2 linked regions of the Medicago truncatula genome follow. The protein of the gene in region 2 interacts with the protein of the main gene of each other region in a biochemical or structural test. Links are inferred from orthologs where the notes say so. Each region holds a gene or a part of one and is shown on either strand. Other genes may lie near its edges. The genes, in order: E3 ubiquitin-protein ligase AIP2 and B3 domain-containing transcription factor ABI3.

Evidence for each region.
Region 1: the proteins of B3 domain-containing transcription factor ABI3 (region 2) and E3 ubiquitin-protein ligase AIP2 form a complex in vitro, tested with the Arabidopsis thaliana proteins (2 studies listed by BioGRID, with this or other methods). The link is inferred for Medicago truncatula from reciprocal best matches to the Arabidopsis thaliana genes ABI3 and AIP2.

Annotation. Positions count from the first base shown.
Region 1 is NC_053042.1:3,564,629-3,581,325, reverse strand, and holds E3 ubiquitin-protein ligase AIP2, read right to left. Parts: upstream 7,468-16,697; 5' UTR 7,337-7,467; coding exon 7,190-7,336; intron 5,681-7,189; coding exon 5,455-5,680; intron 5,311-5,454; coding exon 5,108-5,310; intron 4,439-5,107; coding exon 4,223-4,438; intron 4,082-4,222; coding exon 3,932-4,081; 3' UTR 3,745-3,931; downstream 1-3,744. Other genes in the region: RNA demethylase ALKBH9B, read left to right, coding at 1-24, 177-248, 444-897; F-box only protein 13, read right to left, coding at 9,121-10,332; tocopherol O-methyltransferase, chloroplastic, read right to left, coding at 14,341-14,459, 14,991-15,093, 15,471-15,674, 15,804-15,908, 16,295-16,464. UniProt on the Arabidopsis thaliana protein: E3 ubiquitin-protein ligase that acts as a negative regulator of abscisic acid (ABA) signaling. Mediates ubiquitination and subsequent proteasomal degradation of the transcription factor ABI3.
Region 2 is NC_053048.1:27,918,589-27,935,930, reverse strand, and holds B3 domain-containing transcription factor ABI3, read left to right. Parts: upstream 1-10,692; 5' UTR 10,693-11,034; coding exon 11,035-12,870; intron 12,871-13,304; coding exon 13,305-13,397; intron 13,398-13,485; coding exon 13,486-13,586; intron 13,587-13,701; coding exon 13,702-13,754; intron 13,755-13,835; coding exon 13,836-13,912; intron 13,913-14,333; coding exon 14,334-14,492; 3' UTR 14,493-14,798; downstream 14,799-17,342. UniProt on the Arabidopsis thaliana protein: Participates in abscisic acid-regulated gene expression during seed development. Regulates the transcription of SGR1 and SGR2 that are involved in leaf and embryo degreening.

The sequences.
Region 1 (16,697 bases), on a different chromosome or scaffold from region 2:
GTTTGCTATTCCTCTACCTGTAGGGTAAGTATTCAATCTTGATTTATCTACTACTATGTCTTTTTAGTTTTTTAACTGTTGCTACACGGTGTCGGATCGATTTGGATTAAATTATTTACCAATTTTCCATTGTTATTGACGATTCCAAATCTTATAATCATTTTTTCCCTCTACAGATCTGTACTTGTTTTAAATGGAAATGGAGCTGATGTTGCTAAGCATTGTGTACCTGCAGTTCCTACAAAAAGGTATTTACTGATATGATAGCATGATATTCCCTTTTTCGGCTTTTAACACCAATGACAAGTTATTGATTTACGTGTGTGTTCAGTGTTAAAATGGCCGTCAGTGTTACTTCAATTAATAATAATTTTCCCTCTTCCAATTTTTTTTTTTTTAAAAATGGTTATTGACTTGTGTTCTTTTGTTGAAACTTTTGCTAGGATATCAATCACATTTAGAAGAATGGATGAATCCAAGCGACCTGCTGGGTATATCCCAGAACCTGATCTTCAGGGGATCCAACCATTGGCCTATGAAGCTGAGCAAGAAGAAAAAAAGTCAACTGTTGGGGAAAATGGGGAAAACAGACCTAACAATCATTATATGAGGAGAGATAATAGAAGAGGTGGCAGGAATGATGGAATGGGATCTGCACCTAGAAGCGATAGATTCTCAGAGCCTCGTGAGTGGACTCAGAATTCACCAAGATCTGCACCAACTCGAAACAATAGATATTCAGAGCCTCGTGAGTGGAATCAAAATTCACAAAGATATGCACCCAGAAATGATAGATTCTCTGAGCCCAGAAATGACAGATTCTCTGAGCCTCGCGAGTCGCCGCAAAGTTCACAAAGATCTGCAAATAGGTGGAGTAGGGTAAGGTCGAGCAGTTAAAAAGACGGTGTATTATTAGGATCTGAGGCTCATACTGGTTCACAGTTGAAGTCAATTCTCTGATCTTCATGCCCATCACTTGGTAATGTTGAATAGATTTGTTATGGGAGGTTTCTTGACTTTGGTTTTCGAGAATGCTCTACTCTCTGGCAATTTTATCATATGACGATTGGGGGCTGTTTTGGCACCTTCAATTCGTTAGCCAGAGGCGCTGGTGTATATTAAACTGAGTGAGAACTTGTATTTGTCATTTTTTTAGTACCAAGCTAGAATGTAGCTGGGTTATATATTGACTTCTATTTTTTCAGGTTGATGCTTTATACCTAAAAATATTCATTTTTGAGGTGATAAATACTTGGTTGTGTGAGGTCAGTGTTTTTAGCGCTGCTAGAATTGCTTGGTTTGAGACTTGTAGTGGAATCTAATCATTTTGAAATTGCTTGTTTGTGAAAGGATGAATTGAAGAATGTTGTTTAGTACAATAAACAGTTATACATACCGTTGATCATTACAAGTTTGATATATTGTTTTCTTGATATAGATTCACATTATTTGTTATATTTAACCACATTATTGTAGATTGTTTTAATGAAAGTTTTGGTGTTTATGCTTAAAAATGGTTTCCATGCATGTCATGCTCATCATAGATTCATAGCCAACAAAAAATAGAAATTGAAATCAGATTGCTTCCAGTCAAAATTTTTGACACATCCACGCAGTGGCGAATATTTATGACCGTTGGATCGAGATTGAATTGTTCAAATTGCAATGAAAATATCAAGCTTGAAAAAATCTAAACGGTTGAATTTTGGTCCAACAATCACAGATGTACAAAACTGCGTAAATGTGTCGATTATTTGACAACATGCAATCTAGGTTATAAAAAATGGGAAGGGTGTGATCTATTTGAAGTTCTTTTAGAGGCTTGATCAATGAAAATAAAAAGTTGATGTAGTTTTCAAATATAATTTGATATTGTAGGATTTATTTAAAAGGGAAAAACCTCTGATGTTATTTTCAGAAATTTTTTCTTCTACGAATGAACCATTGATTGTAGGATAGAGAGAGTGCAATATACTGTCAGAATAAAATAAAAAAAGACTCGTGTAAGTTACAAATAAGTCTTATAAAATACAAATTTTAGATTTAGTTAATAAATTTTTAATTTGATGTACAATGATAAATACAGTGCAGGTATAGCCGTATAGGGTAGAGTCAGTGAGTAGTAGTAAATCTTAGTACCTGCCTGTATTAAATTTAGTAGGAGATTCTCTTTATCTGCAATTCTGATTTCTGCATATAATTTTTTAGGTATCATAGGATCTACAACTCATGGTCTTCCCTACTGAAACTGTGTACGTTAAAATGTGCAAATGCTCTAACGAATTGATAGAGACCCGAGTAAGAGGGATAAGGAAAAGAAGGGCTATTAGTATTAAAAAAATTGAGATCCATCGTTCACCACTTCACCTATATAAAAAAAATAGACAATTGCTTTTTTAACTATCGCTTATTTATAACTAAAAAACCGGTAGCAGTTAACTACCGCTGGATTTTTTGGTCATTTACTTATGTTTCCAAGACAGGATGTCAGAAAAGCAACAGTCAAAAAAATATGTATTAATAAAAAAGTGATACTTGATGTATTTATCGTAAACGTAAAGTACAAGATATTAAATTTAGATTGTGAGCGATGCAAGCAATATTAATTAAAATGTACAATTGGAAGAAAAAAAAAAGTAATTAATGTTGTGTTTAAATTTGAAAATGTTTATTATTTGGAGATAAATTTTTGTTGCAAAAAGATCAATTATTTTTTAAAAGAGAAAGTAATAAAAAGTATGGTGAGGTTCAAGTATCTCCAATTATGAGTTATTTATACAATAAGGACTTCATCTTATTAAAGGACCTCTAATGGATATCTATTAGTTACCATCATTTATATAAAGGATCCTATTTCTCTTTAACAATTAACGGGATTAAAATAGGAAAGAAAATAAATAAAAGTTGGTTCCGTCATTTCAAATTTATGTAACTTTTAGTCTCTTCAATTTCTTTTTGTTTGTTTTCTAAATGTACATATTAAAGTAAATATTTAAGGATTTTTTAATTTACTACCATTAAAGTCATTGAATCTTTTATTAAAAAATTGTAAATAAATGACGTGTGCAAACAAGATCCATTTAAAAACTTTTTATGAAGATGCTCTTATATGTAATAAAGGGTGGGTTAGGATGTTAGGTTGCAAGTTTGTTATGCCCAGTAGTATAAATAGTGAGGTGAGTGAGTTGTAAGGAAAATACTTGTGACATGTAGTGACTTTAGTGTATTTTAACAGGAGAGAATGATAGATGACAATTAAAATAAATTCTTTTAATGAGAAGAGAGATAGAGACAAAGTTCTCGTGAACTTAGCTCAGTTGGTATGGACAATGCATAATATATGCAAGGTCCGGGGGTTCAAACTCGGCCACCACCAAAAAAAAAGATAGAGACAAAGTCATCAACCCAAAATTTAATGTCACCAAAATTGTATGCAAGGTTATTGTGGAAACCATTATGGTTAGGCAAAGAAAGAGAGTGTTCTCTACTCTTTCTGTGAGGCGTTTTACTCTGGAGTATTTGGGAATCACTTTCTTTCTACAATTTATCTTCTATTTTCATATTGTAAGAGCTTTTGCTCAATTTTCAGTAAATAAACACATTATCCTTATAGCTCAACCTCTTCAACATATTCCTTATAGCTCAACCTCTTCAACATATGTTTGGAAAAGAATATGGGATAAAATTGAACTCATGAATCAATGATCCCAACATTGTTTGGAGGACTGTATTTGTAGACAATCATTGTTCAGAAAAACTATAAAGCGAGATATTAAATTTCAAGGAATAGCAGTCACACTTAAAACATGAGACGAGATAACTATATAATTTCAAATAATGAAGAATACACAACTATTCACCACCAGGAAATTTTTAATCCCTTATTTCAGGGTAAACCATAGTATACATCGTAATTGCATTGAATAGCCGTCTAAACATACATGAATTCACCGCCTCGAAGAGCATTTGCAGCACCTTTCCTCTCCTCTTCCGCTTCCTTTTCACGTTCCTTCCAGCTCTCATAGGCATGATCATCAGTTTGCAGCTCATAACGACAGATAGGACAAGAATTGTGCTCATCCTGCCACATGAGGGATAAAATTAAACAAATTTCATATCTGATCATGTAATTTCTTCCGTCTCTTTAGTATCAAATGCAAAAAATTGGTTTTAAAAGGGAAAAACAGAACTTTCAGTAAATAAGTGGACTACGAAACAATACCAGCCATGGCTTTAAACATGGAGGGTGGAATGTGTGCTTGCACGGTAACTCTTGCATTTGGTCATTTAACACCAAATTTTCCCTGCAAATGGCACACTCTGCATCTTTCCCCATCTTAGACAGGATCTCTTCGGTGAGAGTAATGACAGGAAGTTTTGAGACAACTTCTTTACTCGCAGGAGGAACTCTTGGAGCTGCAGGACCACCAGTCTCCATCTAATCAATTATTTTTATAAAAAAAAAAAAAAAAGAAGAAGAAGAAGAAGAAAAAAAGTCAGCCTTATAATTAAACAGTGTAAAGTTTAACAATTAAATGAGACAAAAATGAGTATATATTAATCAAAAGGCAAGTTGAAACGAGCAAAATGTGATATAGTAGTTAACAAAATGAGTGAGCTGAGCAGGTTGTTTATATCTAATCACCCATAAAAGAATGTATCATTATCTTTTGCTTATTAAAAAAAAAGGTGCATCGCAATCAAATTATCAATTATATCCACTAAAGCCACCGAACAAGGAACATTATGCATAAGAAACTATGTTGTTAAGCAGGCTGTTTGCGTTGATTCATGTAGTTGTGAAAAATTATCCTATTGAACCATTCTAAAGTAGCTTAGTTTGTTTAATAGAACCTCAAGAAATGCTATTCTGAAGTCAACTATGTATATGCTCAAGTTCTAAGTTGAGCATACATAATTTGTTGAAGTTCTCAATTGAACCTAGGATAGCTGGTTTGTTACTGTTTTAAACAATGCTTAAGCCACAAACTTCTTGAAGTTACAGAAACTGAATCTAGAGATATTCAAAGCCAGGTTGATATTTAAGAGAAAGAATGAAAGCAAATAAGGTGTGGCCAAAATACATGAAAAGTTTTTGGATAAATACCAGGGGCACAACTTCTTCCAATCTATTTCTAAGCATTTCAAGCACACTAGCAACATCCTCTGGCGTGGTGTCATTTGTTGCTAAACCCTGAGAGGGTTGAGCTTCAAATAGTCGAACAGCTTCATTCAAGAGATTTGCCTGCACCATCCATTCAGGTTGTGGTGGCTCTTGATCTACCGTAAGGTGCCCCTCAAAAAGATATCCTGAATCAACACAACGCGATAAACACGGGAAGGTTAAAGCAAACTATCTAAAAACATCCATATCCCAAAACTCATCAACATGAAAAAGCTATAAATTACACATCAAGAAAAAAGAAAAAAAAAACTCTTCAAAAAGAAAATCACCTCTATTTTCACGATTTACTGCAGGTTGCGAAGTTTGTGAAGGGTTGTCTTCTAGATGCAAATGTTCCCTGGCCTGAGCAATGCAAGCCTTCAAGTGCTCCTTTTCAGAGGGTTCAGAAACAAACAATATAGCCTGCTCAAAAAGGCTCAGGCCAGCACTCCAAAAACCGGGTGCTGTATATCTCGTCTTCAACACTGTCGCAACTCGGCATATAACAGAATAAAACTGCCACCACCAATAACACCACAGTCAATTTATTGGCCTTTAATTATCCATCAAACAATAACATTAACCTATTCAAAGTACCCCTAACAAGAGCACTTATGAATGACCTAACAATGAAAGATCATTAGCAGGAACGAAACTAAAAAAATTCCCAGCAGTGCTATTCTAACTTATCAGTTGACCTCATCATTAGCCTTAACAACATACATGTATATACAGAGATAAATACATACATATATCAATATCAAATTGTTTAATTTCCTTTATATGTTGAAAATGAGAGCAAAGGGAGGAAACCTCAATCCCAAGACTTATCGACAGGGCATCCGATAGCATGCCGAGGCTGCGTTAGCAGATATAACCAGCAAGTTACTGCCCATGTAGCACCATCACTTTGGATTGAAAGCGTGTCCAGTAGTCGACACATGTTAGCAATGGCGGAGCATGGCACAAATTTATGAAGGGGCCATAAACATACATACATATAATAATAATAATAATATGGGAGATGTTATGAGTGCCCCCGGGGCACTCTTTAAGACCTTTAAATATTAAATTTTTATGAGAATCATTGTATTGAATGCATTGGAAATTGAAACAATTGACTTTTTTTAGTGGATAATTTCTTGAATTAGAATGCTTAAAGAGTGCCCCGCGGGCACTCGTTAACGAGACCCTAATAATATTTATAGCAAAATTGATATCAAATTGATGTTGGTCAGCGCTGAGCAGTATAGCACCTCTGTTTTATATAGAAATACTAGATTTGAGTATGATATTTAGCATTTGGAGACTTTATGGAAAAAATAGATGAGTTGCAAAAACACGAAATCCAGGGATCAAACCCGCACATAAGACATTACTACTTATAAATCATTAATGTATATTAGCATTTTATTATATATGTATAAAAAAACTTTCAGCACCTCCATATTCCAAGAAGCTTCGCTGCTGCGTGTCGGTTTTTGAACCTGACATACCATGACACAATTTTTTTGTCCAATGAGTCACGACAAATTGTTTAATTTCAATTACTACCATTTTCTTATTACTGGTGTCAAACTATCAATGTCCAACGTCATGTATCTGTCAGTTCTTCGTACGCATAAAACTGTTTCATCCCGTCCCAGCGACTCAATTGTTACATTCAATTACTATAATTTCCTAAAATTATCACAGGAGTCCATGTATGTATCCAAGCTTCATAACTGTAAACAGTTTCACACCAAGCTAGCTACTCAATTAGCCGCTCGACGTTGGAAATATCCACAAGTATCGTTAACCATGTGTGCTAACTCTTCATAATACATCCAATTATATAACAGTATAAACTATAGATCAATCCAAACAAATTAAAAATCAGTTCTTTTTTACCAAACTTAAACAAACACAGAAAAATAAACAAAACCCAGAAATTAAATTGACAAGTACACACCAGCAACTAGTTATATAGAATTAAACCACAATTTTTTTGAATATTAATGAAGAATTGAAATCAAAGGAGTATACCGATTTTCGAAGAGAGGTGGAAGCTAATGGATACGTGGTTTGGAGCAGAGATTTGAGAGATGACACAGCGTCTTCGAATTTCTGCTTCTTCCCCAATTGTTTCTGCAATTCCTCCAATTCTTGTTTCACCAAATTTTCTGATTCCATTTTGTTTCTGTTCTTGCAATGATTTTTCACTCAGATTTTGGAAATTGAGAAACCCTTTTTCTTCTTCTTCTTCTTCTTCTATGATTTTGTGATGTTTTATATATTTGGTTTGGGAATTGATTTTCTTCGGCAAGGGGAAACTGAAGGGAATGATCGTCTACATATGTTCCTACCGTTCTTTGAGTAGGTTATCCAATCATTTTTTGCCACGTCATTGATGAATTTTTTACAATACCACGTTATTGATGATGAATGTTTGATTTCTCCCATAATGCTTTTGATCTAGTATTAAAACTAAAGGGAAATGCTCAACAACACAACGCAAGTCAAATATTAAAGGTATTGAGCAATTTGTTTATATTGTATGATGTTTGGAAGACAATTTTTTTAAAGATGACGATGGATAAAATATTATTTTAGTATTTTAGAAAATTTTTATTTATGTTAAAAACTCTGATGTGGTACATTTCGAAGAAAAAAGTTGCGATATAGTTTCATGAAGGACTGTTTTAGTTTTCATATATCATCTGGCTGTCCTTCAATTTTTCTATTGATATTCCATCATACATTGAGTAGTTGATCATTATTAATGAAATAAAGTGATGACTTAAATACAGTTTTGTTCACTCTATTTTAAATTTTGACAGTTTTGATCCCTAAATCATATTTTTGAACTATAAAAATTTGATGTGATAAATTTTAAAGGTCGTGGAATATGATCTGAAGATGAAAAAAAATCAACATCGATAAAATTGTAACAAAATTCTCTTTAAAACTCCATTTAAAAAATATCATATCACAATATTTGATAGAGGGGCCAAAATTGTTGAATTTTACAATGGTGGGGACCAATTTCGCAAAATCATGAAAATAGGGCACCAAAATTGCAATTAAGCCTAAAGTGATTTACTAGTGTCAAAAAATTATTTTGAATATTTTGAATTTTAATATATATCAATGGGTATTTTGATTTCAATTTTTGTAAATATAATTAAATTTAACAAAGTTTTTTCATTGTTACTTTTATCTTCCATTTCACTTGTAATAAACATTAAAAATGATTATATATAAAAAATAAAAAAAATAAAAAATCGCATATCAATGTTACAATGGTGAGTGGTTACACAATAGCATCAAATAAAAAATTAGGAATTGCTTCTATTGCAAAAAAGAAGGTAAGATCACATCTTAGTTAGCTTGAAAATCTACATAGAAGACTCAACAAATTAGTGTCACTTTTATCCTTAAAAATTTAAATTTTAAACAATCAATCATAAATGAGATGAGGTTCAGGCACTGGTGTTCTCAGAGTTCATAACAAAAAGAAAAAGGTAATTTTGATATCATCTTTCACTGGAACTAAAAAGTGTGATTTTATTTTGTAGGGAATAAAAACAAAACTGTGAATATTTATAGGGACTAAAAAATTAATTATACCTTCAATATATAAAACAATAAACTATGTAAATTTTCTTCCAGAAAAGCCATATTGATGTCTCCTCTATTTGTGGAGAACTAAATATCAAACAATGAAAAAGAATCATGAACAAGATCATTCATTGATAATACCACTAAATGAGAACAATGTTACATCTGACAATCAATTAAGAAAATTACAATATAATCTGTCAACAATCAAATCATTTGGTTAGCTTCCATATCTAGCTATGTTGCATGAAGAAAAAAAAAATTAAGCACAAATCAAAATAAAATGCAAGCTAACAACAGAACATAAAAAATGGTTGATAAATAAAACCAAGATATCCAACTAGGGCATTTCACTCTCAAACAGAAGCTTCTATCCTCGGCTCGAAAGAAAATGCCGACATAAACTCCATGACTTCTCCATTAATGTGACATTTTGGCAATTCAACCCAGTTGTTGGTTACCAAATCACACAGAACATAAGTACATAGCTCAGGAGAGTTCAAGCATATAAAAATCCGAGAACCGGCACCAACACAATTGATATCCGGCTTCTTTCCGTACCATTCATGAGACATTGCTGCTGGCATTGCTGCAATCTGTTGCCAGCATCGGTTGGTCTCATCGAATCTCCACACCCTAAGACTTGTAGTTTCCAAGAATTCCGATAACAAAACAACTATCATCTCACCATTACACTCCACAATATCGATAGAGTACTCGCAAAAAACTGGCAATAGCCTAGGGTACTCAAAGAAACACGTGCAGGTCAAATTGCAAGCTACAACGGTCCCAGACGAACTCAAAAAATAGACTACCTCTTGACCGTCTTGGTTAGTAATGACCGACGAATATTGCTTGGTTGGACTTCTCTGCATGCTACTTGCTACCACATTTCCAGCCTTGCTCAGAAAGTACACAACATTGTCATCGGTTGAATCACAATCCGCTGAACTATCATCGACCTTCCTCCCAAGAGCATTCTCGTCTTCCCAACAGGCAGAGCTTGAGTTATAGACTTTAAATGAAAGATTGGGAAGTTCACCGAAGACTAATACAATCTTGTAGGATATTTGGCCATTGAAAGATGTTGTACTCATAACAACAGCATTGAGAGATTGATTTTCTGAGGTGAAATTCAATGGAGGGAGTTCGGTAGAAGATCCGGTCACAGGATTGGACACAATGAAGTTTCCCGACGATGTTCGGTAGCAAACCAGGCCATTAGAAGCTGCAACAGGAATGCAACTTTTGTTGGAATCTTCGAGCAGAAGATTCGGATGATTGAGTCTTTTCCAACTGTTTTCAGCCAAGTCAAAAATTACAGATTGGTTGAGATCGGGAGCAACCATGAAAAACCAAGGATCCCTTGTGGGGATGTGTGAGCAAGCAAGCTTGAAACTCGCAGAATCAGCAGCTGATTTCCATCTCTTGCACACCGAAGTAAGGCGAAAGAAACTGGAAGTCGGTAACCACGAAAGTACCTTTTCAAAGACATCTTCATTCAGATCATCCAGTGAAAAACTGTTGAATCCATTCTCTGGAGACTTTCTTTTCAATCTATGCTCCATTGATCACAAATTTAGAGCAAACAACTGCAGCAACAGAAGAAGTAAGATGTTAACAACAAAAAAATCAATTTTTCAAAACCAATTGATAAGAATAATAACTTTCAAATGAACACATTAACATATCATAAAAAAGGGTAAACAGGAAAAAGTTCAAAACTTTCCCCTTCATTCAACAATCCCTTTTAATTTCACCATAAAAATTTCAAGACTTTATATAACTTTCAATAAACCCTCTTAGCTTAAGAAGCTATTCATCAAAGTTCACAAGCAAAGATTAACCTTGAGACCTCAATTGCAAACAGTAAACAAAATTTCACCCTTTTTAGTACAAACCCTCAAACTAAAAATTGTAAATAATAATAGTAAAAATACTAACTAAAAAAACACATATTCAAAAGGGTTTACAATAATGATGATATAATACAAGAACAAGAACAAGAACAAGATTATGAATGAAAGTAAGAACAAAAAAGTACCTGAAGGTGTTTGAGCAGGTGCAAGTGCAAGTGCAAGGTGAGAGTGTAAAACACACAGACTGAGACAGAAGAGAGAATGAATGAATGAATGAAAATGGAGGTATGGATTAGGTGTTTAAAATGAATGAAATCCAAAAAAAGTGAAAAAGGGAAAGTGAATTTGTCCACAACACAAAGAGAGAGGGAGGAAGGTTCGTAGGGATCACTTTTATAATAAGAATAATAATAATATTTGTTTAACAACAATGGATTGTTGACACTTTGATACTCACAAAGACACAAACACACGCACAAACAAAGCAACACACACGAGTGGAGTGGCTTAATGTTGGTGTTACATTGGATAGATTCGGATCATATCTATATCTCTATGTCAACGGATTTTCTTACGTCGATTTTTTGTTTTTTATTTTATTTTGGACGGTATTTTATAACATTATTCTTTGGTACAAAACAAATTGGTCAATTTAATTTTAGAAAATATTTTGTTTTATTTTCTATTTAATTTTTAATTACAAAACTAAAAACCTTATACTTATTTTGATTTATGTATTGTTTTCCAAATTCAGGACGGTAAAAAGGATTAAAAATTGAATAGAATCGTTTAAATAAATAATAAAATTTGAAAATAAATTGTTACATCAAAATTTTATATATAGGTGAAGATATTTTGCGTAAATATTTTAAAAAATTAAATTATTTGATTGGATAAAATTGTAAATAAGACTTTTTAGATAAAGAATAAAATTGGAAGAAACAAATACACCAATTTTTTTTTTTTTTTAAGGAACACCAAAACTTGATATTCCCCTTCATATGTAGATATATCTTTTTAATTAAATGTGAAAATTGTGACAAAATATTTATCAATATGAATCAAGAAAAAATATCAATTTAGTTTTAAAATGGTTTTTTATTTTTTTAATTACCAAATATTTACTTTGTTTTCATTTTAATTTTTTCTAAAAGAATAGAATGCTAAGTGTTGAAAATGAAAATTCACTATTTTCACATATAATGTTTGCAAAAATAAAATAATAGATTGGAAAAAAGTAATAACTTATAGTCAAAAGTAAAAATAGAAAATAAATTTAAAAAAACATGTATGTTTTTTTTACAAATATTAAAATGGGTGTGATTCCTTATATTAAAATTATCAAAACTAAAATGAATATAAAATTTTACAATAAATTTGGATAAATAAAATCCACTACTATAAGCCAATAAGTAGTTGACTCTTGTTAGAAGACAATCTAGAGAAGCTTAGGATTCGGGTTGAAAAAATGAAAAAGTACAGAAAGCACAGAAACAAAAAAACATTAAATTAATAATTTGATGTTGCATAAAAGAAAGAGAAAGTGGAATCACGAGGTTAAATTGTCAAAGGTAAAGTGTTGGGTTTTGCAATGTGACTAGTGTTGCAGCTGACCCTTCCCAAGCAAAAGTAAGAAGCAACCACTTTTGGCTCCTCGTTATGGAATCTTTGTCTTCTTTTATTACAAAGTCAATGCTCCTCAAACCCCATTCACAAGACAAGTATTCTTAACACTAGATTTGTGGAGGAAAATATGGAAAAGTAATGGCCGTTTATTTTGATCTTTTTTTTTGTTCTTCTTTTCTTGTTCCTCGTGTGTGTGTGTGTGTGTGTGTTTTCACTTCAACTAGAAGCTAGCTTGCAAACACAAAAGTCATTAGGCTAATGCAGGCTTATTTGTTTAATAAATTGGTTTTGCTTTTTTGGTTCTTTAAGGTTTCACGTTTTCATCTTAATGCTATAGAAAAGAAGGGTTTAATGAACTTCATTTGTGGAATCTGGATAATAAAGGGCCTAAACAAGTTGACAAAGCCTCCAACCCTCACTTGAAAATATATCTTTGGTAAAGTGATCGTTTACTTTTTTAGATGTTTATGCAATCAACAATGCTCTTTACACTCATTTAAGAATCAAAACTAAATTCTTGAAAGAAAAAAAAGAGAATCAAAACAAAATTTATTGTGTTTTTGGAAAATTGGAAAGTTGTGTTCACATCCAACGTCCACCAAACAATCCAATTTATAGGTTCTCAAGTTCACAGTGATATTGGTCTTGGAACGTAAAATTGCAAATCTAAATGTGGAATCAAACAGACAACTATTACCAATGTGGCAATGTCATGTCGCGTGTGGGGTTTTACTGTGGATTACTTTGATAGTCATATATGGTTGATTGATACCAACAAATTAATACAAATTCTAATGATGATTGACGATGTTTTTCGGAAGTAGAAATGTCCAATACTATTTATTTTTATGATTGAGATGGTGACCTAATCAATATCGATTCAAGAAAAAACAATATGATTTGAGTTGAGAACATATATATTTATATTTTCTTATTTTTCTCAACTAACACCGATTAAGTCTCATTCATGAGGAAGATAATGATTGAGTTTTGACTTTCGGAAGGTGGTGTATGCCACACCATTGGAGCTCCAAATAAACTGTAAAAGCATTTCCAATGCTGCAACACAAGTTAGATTCGTAACTATTTCTTCTGGACCCAAAAGTGCCACATAGGATTTAAAAAATAAAATAAAAAAATCATCTTTTCACCAAACTCAATTTTTACCGTGTTTGTTTTCGCAACAAAAACTCATCGGACGTGCAATTAACTTGAGTTTATACTCTGTAGCTTCTTGTCTTTCACAATAGAAAGCCGGTGGACGCCGGGCGGTGAATGGATGTGAAACCAAACACTAGCTTTGTTCTTAATTTACTTTACACGGACCCCACAATCCATCCACAATGGCTAAGAACATGTTATTGCTCAATGGCCGTCACATCATACTCCTCCAGGTCTACAAAAAATATTAAATCTGTACTCCGTATTCATAAAAAATATGCATACAACATTGAAGATGCTGATTATCGGTCCACATTAGAATTTCCTCCAATGTGGTACAATTGATATCTGTGGTAAAGTGACCATTTACATATTTAGATGTCTATGCAATCAAAAAATGGTCTTTAAATTCCCATATAAGAATCTCAGTAAAACTTGTTTTACTGTCTAGGTCACAATGTGTACAACCAGGGCACAATGTGTACAAACTATTTATATGACTAGGACATGTGTTATGTGTATTCAAAACAACTTATGGAACCAAAAAGAAAAACTCTTACTAATGTATGACCTTGATAGTAAAATAAGTTTGCTGACATTCTTATATGGATGGAAAAAATGTGTTAGAATGGGAGATCCCGTTAAAGGTGGCCGATCAAGCTCTCCCACAGAGATTAGTCAACGACAAAGTCAATTAATAATTTGCAGCAATAACATGATTAAAAAAACAAAAGCAATATTGAACAAAGGAAAATTGAACTGACATTTCGATTGGAGGCTACACAACAGGAACTAGCTTACATCTTTCCTTCAATTATTCAATCACAGTTGGATCTGACATGGCAGAAACACGTATTCTTTATTTCTTATTTGTTTTGTGTGAACTATCAAAATAAATGACATGTAGGAATTCTGTTTCATCATATAAAATCATTGACCATCTGCGTTTTCAGGCTTTCGACATGTGATAATGGCAAACTTAATCACACCCTTCCTAAATCCTTCTATCATCAATGGCATAGCCAAAGCTCCTTTTATAGTTTTTAGTCCTGCACACAACAACAAAAATGACATAATTCCCATTAAGTCGTTTCATCCAACAAGATCATTATCAATTTATGTACTCCCACGGTCACATATTGAGCGTCACTTGAGATTATTTCGCACATATTCAGAAAAGGTATATATAAGAGAAAGAGTATAACAATTTTACAAATGTATTCATATGAACCATTAACTGTTGACCATTATCCTAAATGCATACCGGAGTATATAACATTAATTTTGGAACAGAACTGAAAATAATTAATGTTACATCAAACACGTAACGCAACATGGAGATATAAGGTTGGCTTGGTGATTGGGTGGGAGTGTTTAGGAGAGGAGTAGGTTGAGGATTCGATCTCCACCCTCAACAAAAGCATATGTGGTTTAGGGAAAAAAATGTAAAGCGACACTTATTTTGAGACGTTTTTCTTTTGCTAATGTGACACTCAATAGAGGATGGAGATTGTTTAATAAGACTTATGATTTTAAACAAAGGGGCTGTTTGTAAATGCAATATAAAATGTTGAGCTTACCACTCCGCAAGATTGAGGTGAAACCCTTCCATGTTAATGCTGAACGTATCACTGCTGGCCAAAATGGAGCAACAAAGGGAGACCAATCTGCTGATTTGATGTCCTAGATAGATAGCAACCAAACATGTCAATACAACCACACAACCTAACTTAATAGCAAATAGTGATTGTTTAAGTGCTTATTCAATAAATTATTATATGTAACTATCTCATTTGAATTGGCTTGTAATTCCTTAAGTTTTTCCATATCAATAAGTGTACAGTCGTTTACATGCAATGCAGTCCATGTAATGCAGTCTAACAAGCTTACAGTATCTTGTGAAAAATTGAGATGTAAAAAGCTATTTTCAACTAATATAAGAAATTGTTTAAAAACTAATAGTTAATAACAAGTGTATCCAGATACTAATAAACTCTTTAACATTTCTCAACTCATAGCAGAGAATGAAAATATTACAATTAGGTATATTAATTAACTACCTGAAGGGACATGGTTTCAAGTAATTTGACATAATCAGCAGTTGAGCACCACTCCGGAAGATAAAATGAATCACATATCTTCTTCAAGAGATCCTTCTCCCATTGTTGTAGGGATTCTTCATCCGGGCGAAGATCCCTATGACACCATGTTACTATTATTATGGTGCCACCCGGTGCTGCTACCCGAGCTAACTCTCCAACAAACTGAAACAGTTTTTGTATGAAACAGGAAACTGAAATGAGATTGATTACAACTTTACTAGCATAAAGAATAGAAAATATAAAAGAAAGCGAAGAGCAGTATGCAAGTGAGACAGCAAGATAAATACGGACCTTTGGTTTGTTAGGCATATGCTCTCCGCTCTCCATTGACCACACTAGATCAAACTGGCCATCAGGGAATGGTTGTTGTAGAGCGTCAGCAACTTGAAAGGAAACCTACAATTGCATTGCATAGACAGTAAAGGTAAATATCAAATCAGCCACGCGATGAAGCACTGACATAAAGACACAGACACCAAACACGATACTGACATTGATACATAGACACCAATAATAATTTTAAATAATGAAAGTGATTGAATATAATCACATGTGTCAGTATCCACGTTGCTATCAGACACATGTCAAATATGATACATGTCTTTAATCGGAAGTGTGAGTGCTACATAGGCCACATATGAGTAGATTCTATTCTATACAAGTTCTTAACACCCTTGGTGAGATTCATTATAATAACATAACATAGTTTTAACACATTGAATATCAAGTGGTAAAATGTGTAAAAATAGATGATAAAGGAGAAAATGCACAGAAAGAAAGACCTTATCGGCTAATCCTTGAGCAGCAGCTAGAGCATTAGCTCTTTCAGCTTGAACAGGGCTGAGAGTGATGCCTACACAGTTTGCCCCAAATTTCTTGGCCAGGTACCTTGAACTGCCCCCTATGCCACACCCAACATCAACTACACTCTTTGGCCATTTTGATTGATCCTCTGAGCATACATGCATCAATAACAGCAGGTAGTCAGTACTAGCCAGTCCGATCAGGATAAAATTTACCAGCAAAAAATGAAAATAAAATAAAATAACTACTGCTGTTAATAGCAACTGAAATTACACACAGACATAGTATCTTAGTATTCTCCAATTGAGAAGTGGTTTTTGAGTAATATACAGTAACTAAAATCTTTTTTCTATGTAGCACCAAGACTTCAGATTGAAGATG
Region 2 (17,342 bases):
AGTAGGTAATGGTTTAAATTGAGACTGAATTTGAAATTTTCAACATCCCCTTAATTACATAGAAAAGGAGGTTGATATATTTTAAGCATTATCAATGTTATGGTAGTTGTCCAATAATGTTCTTCTACCTGTTATTGAATTTTACTCTATAAGCTGTCGGAGTGAAGAGATGAAGTCCTGCATCATATAAATGTTTAAGGAACCTAAGCTTCCTGAAGAAACTCTTAGAGAATTCATTTCTCATTATCCTTACAATATACTTGTTCTATGAACTTTGGAAAAGTTGCTCTTGCTTATGTTAGACCTGATAAGCCTTTTTCTGTTCATCAAAGGTTATTTATATTTACTATTATGTAACAATATATTTGACAAAAAAAAATCATTTATTTTAGTACACCTTTTTTTTGTTACTATAAGTAGTGAAGTAGTACTTGATTTTTTTAATTTATGTCACGATTCTTTGATATCACAAAGAATCGCAATCATATGTGTTCTGATTATAGTTTATGAAGAGTGACATCTTTAATTCCTTTTATGAGGATGAATTCGGTCCAACGTAAAAGCTTAAAGATGGTGTCGGAGTTTGGTTTTGATCCAAAGACATGTGTATTATGTTACAGTTCAAATTACAGTTGCATACCTTTTTTATAGGACACTTCATGACCGTGGTCCATATCCACCAGATCAAGTTGCTAAGGAACTTGATGGTAGTTTTTCCTTTGTTGTTTATGACAGCACAGTTGGAACTGTTTTTTCTGCACTGCTATATATATATATATATTTGTTACTCTACCATGTTCTTTGTCAACAATTCTTCAAAATCTCAACCCATCAATGAATGATCTTAATATTATACAAGAGGGTTGTGCTAATCTGTATAATACAATAAATCATACAAAATCATTGTTTGGAGAATGTAGAAAGAGTCCTTTGGTCATTTGGGTGTGGTGAATCTTTACATGTAAATTATTTCTGAGAGATGGAGATAGTAAGATTATCTTTCGGTTCTGCTGTTTTCTATTGTCCTTGTTATTTTTTGCTGTCATGGCCTGTTGTTGGTGTATCGTTCCCTTGCCCTTTTAGGTATTGCTTGTGTCGGGGCCTGTTGTTGGTGTGTTGTTTAGGCTGGCGCGGTCTGAAGGCCTTCTGCAGCTGCTGGTATGTTGTTAAAAAAAAAAACTATGACTCTGTGAAGGTTTAAATGCATAAACTCTCACCTCAATTTTCTTTATTATTTTGATTTTGTCACTAAAACTTGTGGGTGTTTGAGATGTTTGAATTGTTCAGTTAATGTTAATTTCTTGTTTCACTTTTTTGTTTTCTAGAGGCTTTGATAACATGTTAATTGACATTTAAGGGTCAAGCAACATTTAAGAGTTTCCCTGATAGCTCGGTATGGTGGTGATCGCTTTTTGCTTGACACGCTAAAGACCATGTATCCTTCAAGCGTTTCTTAAGCTTGGCAGTTATCTCCAAGCTGAGGCAGATTGTACAAAAGCAATAAGTCTTGACAAAAAGAGTATGAAGGCGTACTTCCATACAGGTACAATTAGAGAGATGCTGGGCTACTACAAAGAAGCAATTGATGATTTTAAATATACCCCTGTACTTGAGCCAACCAACAAAAGGGCTGCTTGAGCTGCTGAAAGATTGAGGAATCTAATACTCAAGAAGAGTTGAAGGATTTGCAAGGATTTTGAGTTAGGAGGGAGATCAAGATCAAATTTTCCTATATTATGATAATTACTTTATTATGTTAGTTTTTAGATTGTACGAATATTATTGATATATTCATGGTTTTGTACGAAAATGATTTATGGATTGTACGAATATTATGATGATATATGTCAGTTTAATTAATTTTTGTCTTATTAAATTAAAACTTTATTTCATTAATTTATTTGTGTTTAATAAATTTTATTTCTTTAATTAAAATTAAAAAGTGGAAAGGAATAAAAAAAAAAGTGAGAAGTACATTATTGGCTGAAATTTCCGTCAGTAATGCAGTTCAATATAAATATTACTGGCGGAATAATCCCTCAGTAATGCTTTGTCAAAACTACCTCTCCATTACTGAGGGAAAATTCCGCCAGTAACATTACTGACGCTCATATTACTGAGGGATTCATATTCGCCAGTAATATGTACTACTGAGGGATTTTTGGCGTTACTGAGGGATTATTTCCGCCAGTAAAAACCAGATTTCTTGTAGTGCGCCTCCTTCTTCCAAGGACAATTTATTCCAAATTAATGAAAATGGAGAGGAATGTATTGAATTAAAGAGATATATTTGTATCCATATGATTATAAAAAAAACATTCGTTATCTTCTTCACAGCAACCAATTCATTCAGATTAATTTCTCAATTTCCAAAACAATTAAATCAATAACTCAGGTAATTGAAAAAATAGTTAATTATCCATGAAAACAATAGTTAATTAAAATACTCTTATTACGTTTTATTGTTTTATGATGTTGAAAAAATGAAAAACCTTTAAATTGAGATGCTGACAGATGTATAACCAAAACCTTTAATTTGAGGTGCTGCCAATTGCATAAAATAAAAAATCAAGAATTATCTTTGTTGGAGATATATAGAAATAATTTTGTTATTGAGATTATAGAAGAAGGATCAATAACCCGTAGAACTAGTTTGCTTAACGGAGAGATGAGGCTTTAGGGAAGAAGGTGAATGAGATTGATGAGAGAGAATAAAATAAATAGTCTTAAAAATGAGATATAAAATACTGAATGCCCACATTAAAATTTTGATGAATAATTATTGACCTTTAGATTAAGAGAAATTAACGCTTAAGATTTGGTGTCAACGAATCCTGTCTCATATATATATATATATATATATATATATATATATATGTTATTTTAGTTTATTAGTTATTCAACAACTTAATTTAGGTGTAAAGAATTTAAGAAAAAATTTAAGACCCTTTATTTTTGAAATAATTATTCCCTTAGTTTTAGTTGTTTTAATTATTCTTATTTAGTATATTTGATCAATTTGCTATGACTATATAATAGAATAACCTTCTACCTCTTTATATAACTTATTTTATTTTATTTTAGACAAATATACTAGTTAGATTTCTACTTAAGTGTTAATAGCACACTTTTTTTTTGCACATGTTTCATTTTATCATCCTTGTAACCACATCTTCTATTATTTTGTATTGTACGTGGTTATTTTTGTGCTGTCAATGCCTATTTTTACTCAAGTATATATTCTACTTATTTGACCATGAGTGTCCCCTTTTGTTGCTGAGTCAAAACACTACTCTCTTGTTAGTCACGTTGCTGTTGTTTACTTATTAGTATGCCTTCCTAAAGATAAGGAATCCACCTCCCATGGTTCAACTACCTCCTATAGTTATGCTATGAGTGGCTCAATTAAAATAAACTTAGTTTTCTTTTCTTTATTTTTCTGATTTTTGTTCAAGAGGGGCGGTTTTTCATATATCTAGCTATAATAATTTTCCTAGGGATAACATACAATTAGGAAGAGACCAATAACGTTTCCTACTATCTGCTACACAAACCACAAATACACACTTATCTCTCTAAAAGATCCTTATGATTCCAAACATTATTTATTCTTTATTTCTATTTAAAACCAAGACACCAATTTTCTTATTGTCACACGCCTTTGTCTTCTTCTGTGACAATTACACTAAATAAACCCATCCATTAACCCTGCCTTAATCAAAACAAACTTGTTCTCTTGGTAACTTCTTGTGAGCCACATTTCTCCCTACCATCTTCACAAGTCTACAAACATATTCTCCTACTCTTTACTCGGCCTACACATTTCATCCGAATTTTTTGTGTCCATTAATCCAATCATAACATTTCATCTTGTCTAATTTTGTGTAAGTTATTTTAAACATGTCCTTTTATTTTATTCTCTTCTCACTTTACTAAATTATTTCCAAATCATAAGCCTTTTTCTTTTTCCATAAGAGGTGGCCGTAGAATTTCAATTACTCCTTCGTTCACCATTCGTTCGGGCTAATTCTGGGAGTAAAAGAAATTGTGTCTGCATCGTAGCTGCAAGTTTGAGGCGGCTTAGAGTCGTGATTTAGAAAGAAAAATGCATGAGGTACGAACTTTTTTCCCATACGTCCATACTAAGTACTAGGATGATGTTATGAATTAGAGGTAGAGATTCTTGTCGGTTGAAAAGAAGACAAAAAAACTAAAATATGAATTTATATGGTAAAATTTAACCTTTTATAAAAGTTATTAGTTTAATTATATTTTATATGATGTGTGCATAAAATGTTATGTAGAATGACATTTATTTTATTTTGATATGCATATATGTTTTTTTTGTGGTATTGGGAAAGAAGTGTTGGATTTTGTTGATAAACTAAAGAAATGAAAATATAGTAATATGAGTTTTATGAAAATATTTCATTTTGGTTCATGTGGATGATGATGTGTTAATATCTGATTGTGTTTGCTTATGAGGTTGCCTTAGTGGCGGGTATTTTATTTGACTATGCATTTGCCTTAGTGGTGGGTTAATAATATATTTCTGTGTGGTGCCTTAGTGGCGGGAGAATATCATATTGCATTGTTGTGCCTAAGTGGCTGGATTTAGTCTTCATTGTTCATGATCATGCATTAGCATATGCATCTGTGTGGTGCCTGTGTGGCGAGTTATTTCTGTGTGGTGCCTGTGTGGCGGGTTATTTCCGGATCATGTAGAATCTAAAAGCATGCAATTTACACATAATTGCATTGCATTGGGTCTGTTATACATTTGTGTGTTGATAAGTGATTAAACTATTATAAAGCAAAAGAAATTGTGTGAACCTTATTTAAAGCATATAACTTGAATGTATTTTCCTTATTTCTTTTTAATTGAGAAGTTTTGATATATACTATCTATTTTATGACATTGTTTCTTGTGCTTTGAGTATGAACCAATTTGGATAAGGAAATTGACCCTTACACTAACATTTTAGGTACCAAAGAAGACATGTGTATGCTTTGGTGTTTTGCTTGAAGCGCGTGCGGGGAAGAAATTGGGTTTTAATTGAATTCTAATTTTAGTAATAATTTTGAAGGATATTTAGTTTGAGAAGTTTAATTAAATTATGTTAAGAATTTTGTATAGATTTTGCTAAGAATTATTATTAATGATAAAAAAAAAAAAAAATGGTAGTAATTTTCGAAAATGAGAATGATTTAGGCGTAATGTCTTGGATCAAAATCTGGGGCGTTACACATGTGTATCAACCTCTGATTAATCCTAAAAGTAACTAAAGGTCTTCGATGCGGTGATTGAACCATCAGTCAACACTGAGGCGATTACTTCTGCAAAAGAAGCTTCACTAAAGTTCGATATTGCTCAAAGCCTAAGTCAATGTGATTATTTGTTGTCACATTCTGTTAAGCCAACGAGTCATGACATCTTTAACACTATGATCAACTTGCTTGGGTCTAGGGCCTTTGATTTGGTCCACGATGATACATTCTTTGTTCGGTAAATTCTAAGATTTGATATTGTCTATTTTGGTCTTATTTTCATAGTAGTTTTCTGATTTTGTGTTCGGTAAAAGTCCTTGATTTCTTGACTAATCTTTGGTGGTTTTTGGTTTTGTTGGGTTTTGGCCTAGTCTATCCATGTGTATATCAGGTTCAGGTCCTTCATGACTTTGATTTTCTTGGGCCTCTATTAAACAAAAATTATGGGTCCATTTTAGTGCATATCCTCTAGACCAACTCTGATACATCGTAAACTTGTAACTTAATACAACTTCCATCCTTTAGCAATGCATCATTGAACATTTTCACGACCTTCCATACAAACCAGCACTAGCAAGCATAAATTGTTCCTAAAACTTAAATTAACATTAAAAATAAAGGTTTCTAAAACAACAAAAGACTTAGTGTATATTAAGGATAAAGTAGGTTTTGCTTTCACTCAAAGATCACATATAATGGGAGATATATGAATGTAATAAATGGTATATCATCCGCTTATCATGTACTTAATTTGGCGTTCTTAAACCATCAAGGGTTATGGGCTCACCGAAGACATTAGGGAGAAGTAACCGTTGAAGAGAGTTAGTGACCAAGATGTGGACTTGGCTATTTTGTTCACTATCTTAAAATCAAGTAATCAGTCACATTGGCTTCGTAGTTTGTAGTTACCAACAATTTGAAAAAGAAAATCTAACATGACCTAGTCGCTTTCTCTTTCTTTTATGGAATTCAAACCAACCAATTTGCCAAGTTCAAAATTCTTCTTTATATATATTTCTCCTAACATAATCTTAGTAGTCAAGTTTAAACAAGAAAATCCAGGTGGAGATAAACTTTTATAAATATTACTACATGCCGACACACTAGTACAAATGATAGATTTTGTCATCAATGAGTTTTTGTCTTTTTTTTGTTAATATAAAAAGGATAACAATGTTTATATTTTATAACTTAAAGATTAAATCAGAAGAAAAAAAAAAAGATAAGTGAGAAAAGTGTTATTGAAATTAAGTTAAGGGACAAATTATGTATTTTTGCTTTTTTTAGTAACCATCCAAGTGTTGTATAATATTTTAAAAATTTCAACGCTAAAGTTAAAATCGTGAGTTTATTTAATCGTGAATCTTTTGTAATCAATGATGTTTTTAATTTTGTCTTGGATATGATAGTTTTTTTTTTAAGAATTGTCAAGTACTGTTGATACGTTTTTGTTAGATAAATGAATTGATAAAATTCATTGGAAACTCATACATATAAGTGTAGAATTTGAAGTTCAAACCTCGATCACAACGTTTGACCTAGCAATTTGAAGAAAAAAAAAGCAATGAGATAAAATTTGGTAAAAAGAAGAAGAATGCATAGCGAACAAAAGTAAAGAGCATAAAACTAATTTGTGCTAATAGTGCATCACCATGAAACTAGGACAAAACTTGTGAAAAAGATGTAATCAATTATAACTTGCCAACAAAAAAAAAAATTGCATACCACTTTTGATTTTAAAATAATCAAATATGATACAATAGTGGAAGAATTGGAATTTAATCTTAATCGAATTAATACTATTTTTTTTTCTTCCTAAAGAGCAATCTTTTAGAGAGCTTTGAGATCTCTTATTATCTTGTACATTGCTCCATAGTGGAAGGGATAAATGAAATTGGATGGTTGTTGATTCCTCAAATGTGTTCTCAGTTAAATCGTTGTATATGGTCCTATGTGGTAAAATTCTTCCTCCTACCACTTTGAACACGACAAATAGGAGGGGGTTGAGAGGAATTCATACTGATTTTTTCCCACAAAAGATATAAAAAATTTCATGGCAATTAATTTTAAGGAGGCTTTCTACTCGCGGTAACTTAACTAAGATAAGGGTGTTGTTTGAATGAGAAGCATAGACTTGTGTGTTGTGCCCGCAGATCCTTGTGATAGTAGCATTGAATTGTAATCAATGATGTTTTTTGGTTTTACATGGACTAAAACTAAAATGAAGTAAATTTGCAGGGATCAAAACCATATTTTAGTCTGTTTTAATTTTGTTTTGGATATGATATAATTTTTTTTAAGAATTGTCAAGTATTGTTGACACTTTTTTTTGGATATGATATATATTTTTTTAAGAATTGTCAAGTATTGTTGACATTTTCTACGGTAGATAAACAAACCGATAATAGTCATTAGATATTCACACATATAAGTGTAGAATTTAAGGTTCAAACTTCGATCACGATATTCAACATAACAATTTCAGAATTTATTTATCTATTGAGTTAGGATTTGTCGATAAATATTGGTGATATTTAATTGAATCGTTCTTTCCACTAAATGATGTTTGATTATCATTTTTTGGTTTGGTTCATTTTATGGATGTGGTTTTTAGGCGCGTGAACTCCGCGCGTATGTTTCGGTCTCAGTATATTTGTTGATGTTTTTATTGATGAATTTGAAGGTATTCAGTTTTTCTTTTCTTTTTGACTTATCTTTTTTGTATTGTTGATATATTCTTGATATGTCTTGTGTTTTAAATAATTTTACTATGATGTTTTTTAGGCAAAGAATTAGAGTGCGAAAAATCACATGATAATAAAGAAATCTCAATTATCTTGGCACTAAAAAATCATACTTGTAAAAAAAATTAATAAAAACAAATTGGGGTCTTGGGTCAAAACTCAAATAGACAACAAGGGTGCATAAAAATATAATTTTATGCCTCGTTAAAAATCTTTAAGAAAAATAAATGAGATAAAACTTGATGAAGATAAGAAGAATGCAAAGCAAACAAAAGTAAAGAGCGTAAAATTGATTTGTGCTAATAATGTATCACCATGAAACTATGATAAAACTTGTGAGTGACGAAGATGTAATCAATCAATTACAGTTTGCCAACACACAAAAAAAATTGCATAGCTCTTTTGATTTTAAAATACTCAAATATGATATGATAAATTGAAGAGTTGTAATTAAATCTTAATGGAATTAAGAATTTTTTTTTGGCGTGAAGAGCAATCTTATAGAGGGCTTTGAGATCTCTTATTTTGCACATTGCTCCATATTAGTAGGGATAAATGAAATTGGGTGGTTGAATCTCAAATGTGTTCTCCATTAAATTGTTGTATGTGACCTATGTGGTAAAATTCTTCCTCCTACCGCTTTAAACATGACATATATGAGTCGGTTGAGAGGAATTCAGACTAGTTTTGCACCACAAAAGATACAAAAAAAAAATCTTAACAATTAATTTTAAGTATATGCTTTCTACTTGTGGTAACTTAACTAAGATAGGAGTGTTTTAAAATGAGTAACATCGACTTGTGTGGTGTCCGCGAATCCTAGTGTCGATACCCAAGTGATCATAGCTAAATATATGACAAGTTGAAATCGATCTATCAATCTGAACATAACAAACACACAAAAAAAACTCAGATTAAGCGGTAAAGTTTTAGAACTCGAGAGTTTACCTCAACTCATTTTCTTTAAGTAAACTCGACTCGAGAACTCGTATGAGTTTAGCTAAAATTAAAATTATGTAGAATTTATTATATGCATGACATATATAAGCTAATATAATATTGTAAATACGTCGATAGTGCAAAATATGACTTAATTACAAAGACAAGTTATACCAAACTACCATAATAAAACGTTATACTCAACTTAGCATCAAAATACAAAAATTAACGCACAAAATCATAAGTTTCATAAGTCTCTAAGTTTAAGTCATTCATAAAACTATCCAAAAAAGCAAGTTTCACAAGTTCCTAAAGTTGTTAATAAAACTATCTAAAAAAATAAACTAGTTAATTTTTTCAAAAGGTCAACAAACACCACCACTGCAATCCTAACCGGCGTCGAAATCTGAATTTCCATCGTCGGAATCACAACCCTAACTAGTATGTGCTTCCCTGTTCATGGTTTGAGGACTTAGAGAAGAAAGAAAAAGAAACGTTTCATCTCGGGAACAACGTGTTACTGTAAAGTTAACTATTCAGTAAACGCTTCAGTCTTTGTGCTTGTAGGATTGAAATTGGGTTTGGAAAAAATGGCCCAAAAAAAAAAGATCGATTTTTTGGTTAGATGTAAACTCGTAAATTTCGGTCGAGTTTACACGAGTTTACCGAGTGTTAACTCGATCAAACTCATCAAACCTTCTAATTTTACCAAAATTCGAGTTTACCTTCAAGTTAACACGATTTTGATATCTAAAAGTGTAAACTCGATAAACTCAAAGAGTTAACACTCAATTGCGGAACATTTCTAGGCTGCATTAAGTTGACAAAATTACACAAAAAAGAAAAATCTAATATGTTAATAACACATATTTAGATAAAAGAAAAACACATGCAAATGGATAATTCCAAATAAAAAAATGTGACAGTTGTAACAAATGATAGAAATAATACTTTTTTGGTAGAAACAAGTAAGACATTAATTTATTTAACAAAAAGAATACAAAATGAAAACATTAATCAAAGGTCACCTAAAAATTAAATTTTTCTTTGTGGAGCAGAAGACCTTACTTTCTAATAAAGACTGTGGCACCGTTTAGTACCACCACTGAGAATGTAACGAATGTCTATAGCACAAATTCCGGAGTAACCTCATTTGACAAAACTAGCGGCAAGAAATTTTGTTTTTTGATTCCAAAACCAAAACTACCTTTTCTCTCAAAAAACCACTTATTCTCTCTCTCTTACATAACCTTTTGTTTTTGTGTGTGTGTGAAACTACCTAAAAACCATTTTGAACTTATCTAAGAAAGAGAAAATAAAATCAATTAACAAAAGCAAAACAATTATGTAACTTCCTAGAACAAACCAGAATACACACATGGGTGGGTTTTTTTTTTCTCCAAAAAAGACTAAGTTTTCAATCAGTTTAAGCATGTGGGTTTTCTTTCTCTGAAAAATTTGATTGGTTTTCTGGGTTTGTGAACAAAGAATCTTAATCTTTTCTTTCTGCTTCACTCTGTTATTTGCTCTTTCTAAAGTTTTGATTTTAGTCCTTTCAATTTCTTCATCCAAGTTCTTTGTGTTCCTTTCAAAACCCTAGGTTGTTTGTGTATGATTGTTTATTTAGGATGATAATGACCCAAATGAGAATAAAAAATCAATAAAAAACCCACTTTTTGGAATAGTGAAAGTCGCTTTCTTTGAAGGTAAGAGAGGTTTTCATTATTAAATATATATTATATATATTATCCAAGTTGTTGATAATGATATCCTCTCTCTTGGTAAGTGTTTTTGTTGAGAATCAGATGTTTTCTGTTGCATAATCCATTCATAAGATTTGAAAGAATCTTATCTTCTTTTGCTTCCTTAAACAGATCTTTTCCTTTTGTACTTGACAAGTACATAAACAAAATTATCCATTTTTTTCTCTCTTTGTACTTTCTCTCTCCTCAAACAGTACCATATTTCTTGCACCATATCTGAAAAAAATTACACCAGAAGAATACTTGAACAAAAGGGTAATCAAACTTCAAAGTTTTTCAAGTTTGAGAGAAGTTTTTTAAAGATAAAGTTAGATCTTGTTATGGAGTGTGGTTTAGATCTGCATGCAAAGTTGGTGAATGAAACAGAACAAGTTGGTTTTGGAAATTTAGCAGAAGAAAATTGGCTTAATAATACTACAAATGATCAAGATGGTGATCTTTTAGGTATGAATATGAATGATGATGCATCTATGTTCTATGCTGATTTTCCTCCTTTACCTGATTTTCCATGCATGTCATCATCATCCTCATCTTCATCATCTTCAACACCATTGAAAACCATTGCATGTACTTCAACTACAACAACTACTACCTCTTCTTCTTCCTCAGCTTCTTCTTCATCTGCAGCTTCTTGGGCTGTTTTGAAATCAGATGTTGAAGTAGATCATCAAGGTTATCAAAAACATGGTCATCCATTAGATTATCATCATGGTCATCCTCCAACAACTTTGTCATCAACTGCTTCTATGGAGATTTCTCAACAACAGCAACAAGATCTTGGTGTTTCTAACAATGATGTTGTTGTTGGTGGTGGTGATTGCATGGATGATGTTAACATTATGGATACTTTTGGTTACATGGAGCTTTTAGAAGCTAATGAATTTTTTGACCCTGCTTCGATTTTTCAAAATGAAGATGAAAACCCTTTAGTGGATTTCACTCAAGAGCAACAAGTTCAAGTGCAAGACGGATATCAACAACATCAACAAGTTCCGATGATAGTGCATGATGATCGGGAAAATAAACCGCAACAAGTGAATATCGAGGAGAATAACGACGATGTTTTTGTGTGTGACGGTGTAAATGGGGAAGAGAGTATTCAAGGAGATGAATTAGGTGCATGTGATGGTGTAAGTGATGAAATGAGTATGGTTTTCTTGGAGTGGCTTAAATCGAACAAAGACAGTGTCTCCGCGAATGATTTGAGGAATGTGAAGCTTAAGAAATCAACGATTGAAAGTGCTGCTAGGAGATTAGGTGGTGGAAAAGAAGGGATGAAACAATTGTTGAAGCTCATTCTTGAATGGGTTCAAACTAGTCATCTTCATAACAAAAGACTCAAAGAAAACGCCAACACGAACACAATAATACCTTCAAATATTGTTCCTCAACAACATCATTTTCAAGATCCGTGTCAGAACCAAAACACAGCAAACACATTTGCACCTGAATCGAACGCATGTTTCAACCAAACATCATGGCTAGATCAAACACCTCTCATTGTACCTCCACAACAATTTTCACAACCAATGGTTGGAGTTGGAGTTGGATTTGTTGCTGATCCTTACACAAATGGTTCTGTTTCAAATAACATTAACCCTTACCAACCTGCTGTTACTAATGAATATCACATGTTGGAATCAAATCATTCATGGGGTGCTTCTCAATTCAATGTTGCACCAAACTACAATCAATCATTTGTGGAAAATAACAACAATGTGCTACAACCTCATGGTATGAATTTTGGAGGTTATGGAAATCAATATAATTCTTATCAGTTGTTTCCTGGTCCTGGTGATAGGTTGATGAGGTTAGGTCCTTCTGCTACAAAAGAAGCTAGAAAGAAGAGGATGGCTCGGCAACGGCGGTTTATGTCTCATCATAGGCATCATAATATTAACCATCATCAGAATATTCAAGGTTCTGATCCACTTGCGAGATTAGGTAGTGGTGATAGTTGCACCAATGTTGCTGCTGGTGGTTCTCATGCAAATCCAGCGAACTGGATGTATTGGCAGACTATGACCGGTGGGACAGCAGCCTCCTTGGCACCTGTTGTTCCGGCTGAGCCGACGCAGCCTCCAGTGGACCGTGACCGCCCCACCATGCAGACACAGAGTTCTCACCAGGGTCGAAGTGCATCCGATAGGAGACAGGTTTGTGGACTTCAGCTTTATATTATTGTTAGATTATATGTTTTGGTTGTTTATATGATCTACGATGTGTGATTATTAGAAATGCATGTAAATGCAAAATCATTTGTTATTGAACTTGAATAAGTTTTAAATTATGGTCAACAACCGTAATTGTGGCTGCAATATAATGGTTTTAAAGGTCTCTGCAACGGCGTAGCAACCACAGTTGTGGTGGTATTTATCCATTTGTCTGCAGATACCGCAATATAATGGTTTGCAACATTATTGTAGCTTATGCAGATATCGCAATACAATGGTTTGCAACATTACTATAACTTCAACTAACAGCCATTATCCGATCACTCAATTATAACTGTCAAATTATAAAAAATGTGCGACTTTAAACACAACTATCTTGCTTTATGAATAATGTGTTTGATGTATTTGATTGATAGGGTTGGAAGCCAGAAAAGAACTTGAGGTTCCTTCTACAAAAGGTTTTGAAGCAAAGTGATGTCGGAAGTCTGGGGAGAATTGTTTTGCCAAAAGTAATTATTGATTTTCTATTTTTCAATTATTCATTACATTTTATGAGAAAATAAAATATTGATTCATAGTTTATTGCAAAAACATCAGAAAGAGGCAGAAACACATTTGCCAGAATTGGAGGCAAGAGATGGAATTTCGATTACAATGGAAGACATTGGAACTTCTCGAGTTTGGAATATGCGTTATAGGTAAGCAAATTTTCATGGACAAATTTAACTTCATCATTTTGTTTTTTATGTTTATAAATTATGATGATGATACATTGGGACTAAAATTTTATCTTTTGATTATTTCTTCTTGGAGCATCAGATATTGGCCTAACAACAAAAGCAGGATGTATTTGCTGGAGAACACCGGTGAGTTATTCTTCTTATTCATCTTTGGTGCTTTGTTTGTTTTTGTTTATTTTTCATAATGTATTCATTTTCATTTTGTAGGTGATTTTGTGAAAGCTAATGGACTCCAAGAAGGAGATTTCATAGTGATATATTCTGATGTGAAGTGTGGCAAATTTGTAAGAGCCTTCTCTTATAATGTTTTCTTTTACTTAATGTTCATGGATTTGGATTTCCTAGTTCCCGGCGTAATTGAATCGAGATCAAACCAAAGTTTTAAAAAACCAGACTAAACTCATCCCGTTCAACTCATTGAATTGTGAATCCTCGGGTTAAACCGTGGTTGGTTCAAACCGATTTTCATATTTTACATTCTTTTTAATATTCTTCACATTTTTTTATTTAACATTTTTCATCTCGTTCAACCGCTGTTGAATCATTTGAACCAATTAACCATGCTCGAGGTCTCACCAAAACTCGAGTCGTTTGTTCTCAATCCAACCGTCTAAAATACAACAGTAAACTTTATTATGAGATATATTTTTCTTTTAAAATTAAAAAGTTGAGAATTAATTGGTGGGAATATAATTTGTGATACAGATGATAAGGGGAGTTAAAGTGAGGCAACAAGGAACAAAACCAGAGGCAAAAAAAGCAGGAAAATCACAGAAAAACCAGCATGGGAATAATGCTGCAAATTTAGCTGGAACTGCAGTGGATAATAATGGCACGCCATCTTCACCAAAGAGAAAAAAATGAAAAAGATATCAATTAATTAATATATATGTAAGATATAGTAAGATGCATAATAATATATATTTAAATATAGTAGAGTAGAGTCAATAAAAGAGACTTTGAGCTGAACATGCAAAGCTTATAAGGATCTGTAGTATTATTTGTTTGGAATTCATTTGCAAATTGTTGTGTGAAAATGATGTATGTGGATATGTGTATTTAAACTTTGTAAGGGTTGTACTTGAGCTGTCTCCATTTGTAACTTTGATTTTGAAGTTCATAGAAAATCATGGTGCAGATGAAACAATAAAGAATATTTTCGTGTATTGATCTTGAGATTTTTTTATATATAAAATTGTTAACAAATTGCATATTTTATTAATTTGTCGAGAGAAAAATCTTATAATTTATTTTTGAGTAATTCTGTAGGCAATTGTAAAAGATACCTTACAATAGATGTAAGAATTTTATATATATTAGTGGACACTTCCGATCATTTTATTGGGTTAATGTGTATAAATTATGAATATTAGTTTTTATATAAACAAATCACACATCTTTTTTCAATAAAGTAATCTGTAAAAAATTCATATCCAAAAAAATTTATAACAAAATGATGAAATTTTAAAATGACATTTTAAGATAAGTTAAATAAGTTTATATTCGAACAAAATTTTTATTTGAAACCCTTTCTAAAAAATTATAGTAAAAAACTATAAAAATCTATTTTTAAAAAACTATTAAAAAACAAGTCCTATGTACTAATTAAATTAAGAAGATCAAACACTCTAAATTTCTAAAAATGTTATTCTAAATATTTCATCATAACATTATAATTTTATTTGAATCATAAATTTTTTAAAAATCTTTAAAATGGTTCCTTTTTCTTCCATTTTCCGTTTACACATAAATTGTCATTTGCAATATTATAGAAAAAGCATAAAATAAAAGCACCAGTTGAATAAATTGTGTCGTGAATTTGAATAAAATCGCACCAATGCTATGCTGAGTGTAGGAAAAATTGTAGCAACCAATCACCAAAGTGAATTAATGAACATCACTTACTAAGTTCGATTCAATTTGACCTATACATATGTGGAAAATAGCAGTTCTTCAATTTATTATCAACGAGTTTCATATAAATAGATACATAAATTTAAGAGAAATTAGGCTTCAAAAACCTTAATTCATTAAAATAAAACTCAATATCCAGCCTAAGGACCGACTAATCTGAATTGTATGATCTCATAATTCCCTTGCGAGGACAACATTTAAAGCCATCAAAATTGACATAGGGAGAAATCAAACACGAGACCTTAAGAAGTGCATACTCCAAGGTTCCAAACCAACACCATTAGGCTAACCCTATTGAGGTTCTACCATTTTCTGGCCTTCCCTTGAACAAATGACACTATGATTTCATTCATCAAGGTGTTCATAATGCTTCCCAACCCTAGACTATAATCCAAAAGTACTCAATTCTCAGCTTTTGATCTTCTTAAAATTCTCTCTTTTGATCAACTCTAGTTTGACTCACTTTCATCTCTCTCTAAGACCGGAGAAACACCTCATATATAAGCATTTCAAACTTGGCGAACAAGAAAGCTGAAGCAGTCTATTGTTGTGAATTGTTCCTCTTATTGTCGTTGATTGTTCTTATTTGAATGAGATTTAACTAATTTTTAATTGATAAATGAAAAATTGTTTAAATGAATGGGTAAAAGTGAAAAGAAAAAATTCAACCTAAAAAGTGTATTACCTTTATATATCGATACGAAGATGAAAAAAATAATAAAATTGTTTAAATGTAAGGGTAAAATTAAAAAGCAAAAGTTTAATCTAAAAAGATGTATTTTAGTATTTCATTTAATATTTGTTTATTTTTTTGTCCACTTAATATTTGTTGTAATACCGCAAAAAAGACAATCATAAGTTGAAGAAGGTTGCATGTAGCAAGAAATAATAATGATAAACAGATAGAAAAGTCATATTTTTTAATAGAAAAAAATTAGGATATCAAAAAGGTGTATAACGTGTACGTGACGTAAAGAAGTAGAGTATTGTTGGATTGTTGATGTCGACAAGGTAATGAAGGAGCCGTATATGTAAGTACAATCCTCAGTCATACATATACTATTTGACTTCGTCTATTTTATTTATATAACAAACAAGGGAATGGAAGGGAAGATCAATATCATCCATTACGTTTCCCACATCATTTTATCTATAACTATAGTCTATATATCAAAAGAATATGAGATAATTTGGACTATATTTTTAAATAATTTTTATGTTTTATCCACATGATCAAATTTCTATTCTTCCTTTCTACACACTAAATTTTCTGCTTATGAAGATTGACTTTGCTTCTTTAACAATAAAAAACCATCCTAGGTTATAGTTATTTCTTTCAGCATGTTGAAATAAGATAACATATTACTTTTGTTACTCTAAATACTTTATACCGTATGATAAAAGCGATAAAAAAAAATGTGTCTTATAGGTACTTCTTACATCTTATAGTTCAATTCCTCTTCATTCAATACATCATTTTCCTTATTCTCTTTTGAAGATTTATGGTCTTCCACCTCTTGTTTAGCCTACAGACAAGAAAAAATCTTTTCATAAACAGAAAGGATCATAAACAACATATAAATAAAACATATATGTGTATGCCACACCTTTTTTTTTCTTCTGTTTTTTCTTCTTGGACTTCTTTTGAGATGATTGCTTAAACTCATAGGTATTAGAGTTTTGTCTACACAGTCTATTGGATACCAAAATTCAACAATCACATGAATACTTACGATAAAGAAACAGAAAACGGCAAATCATTAAGTAAATCGTATATTGTACCTGAATAGATCATCGATG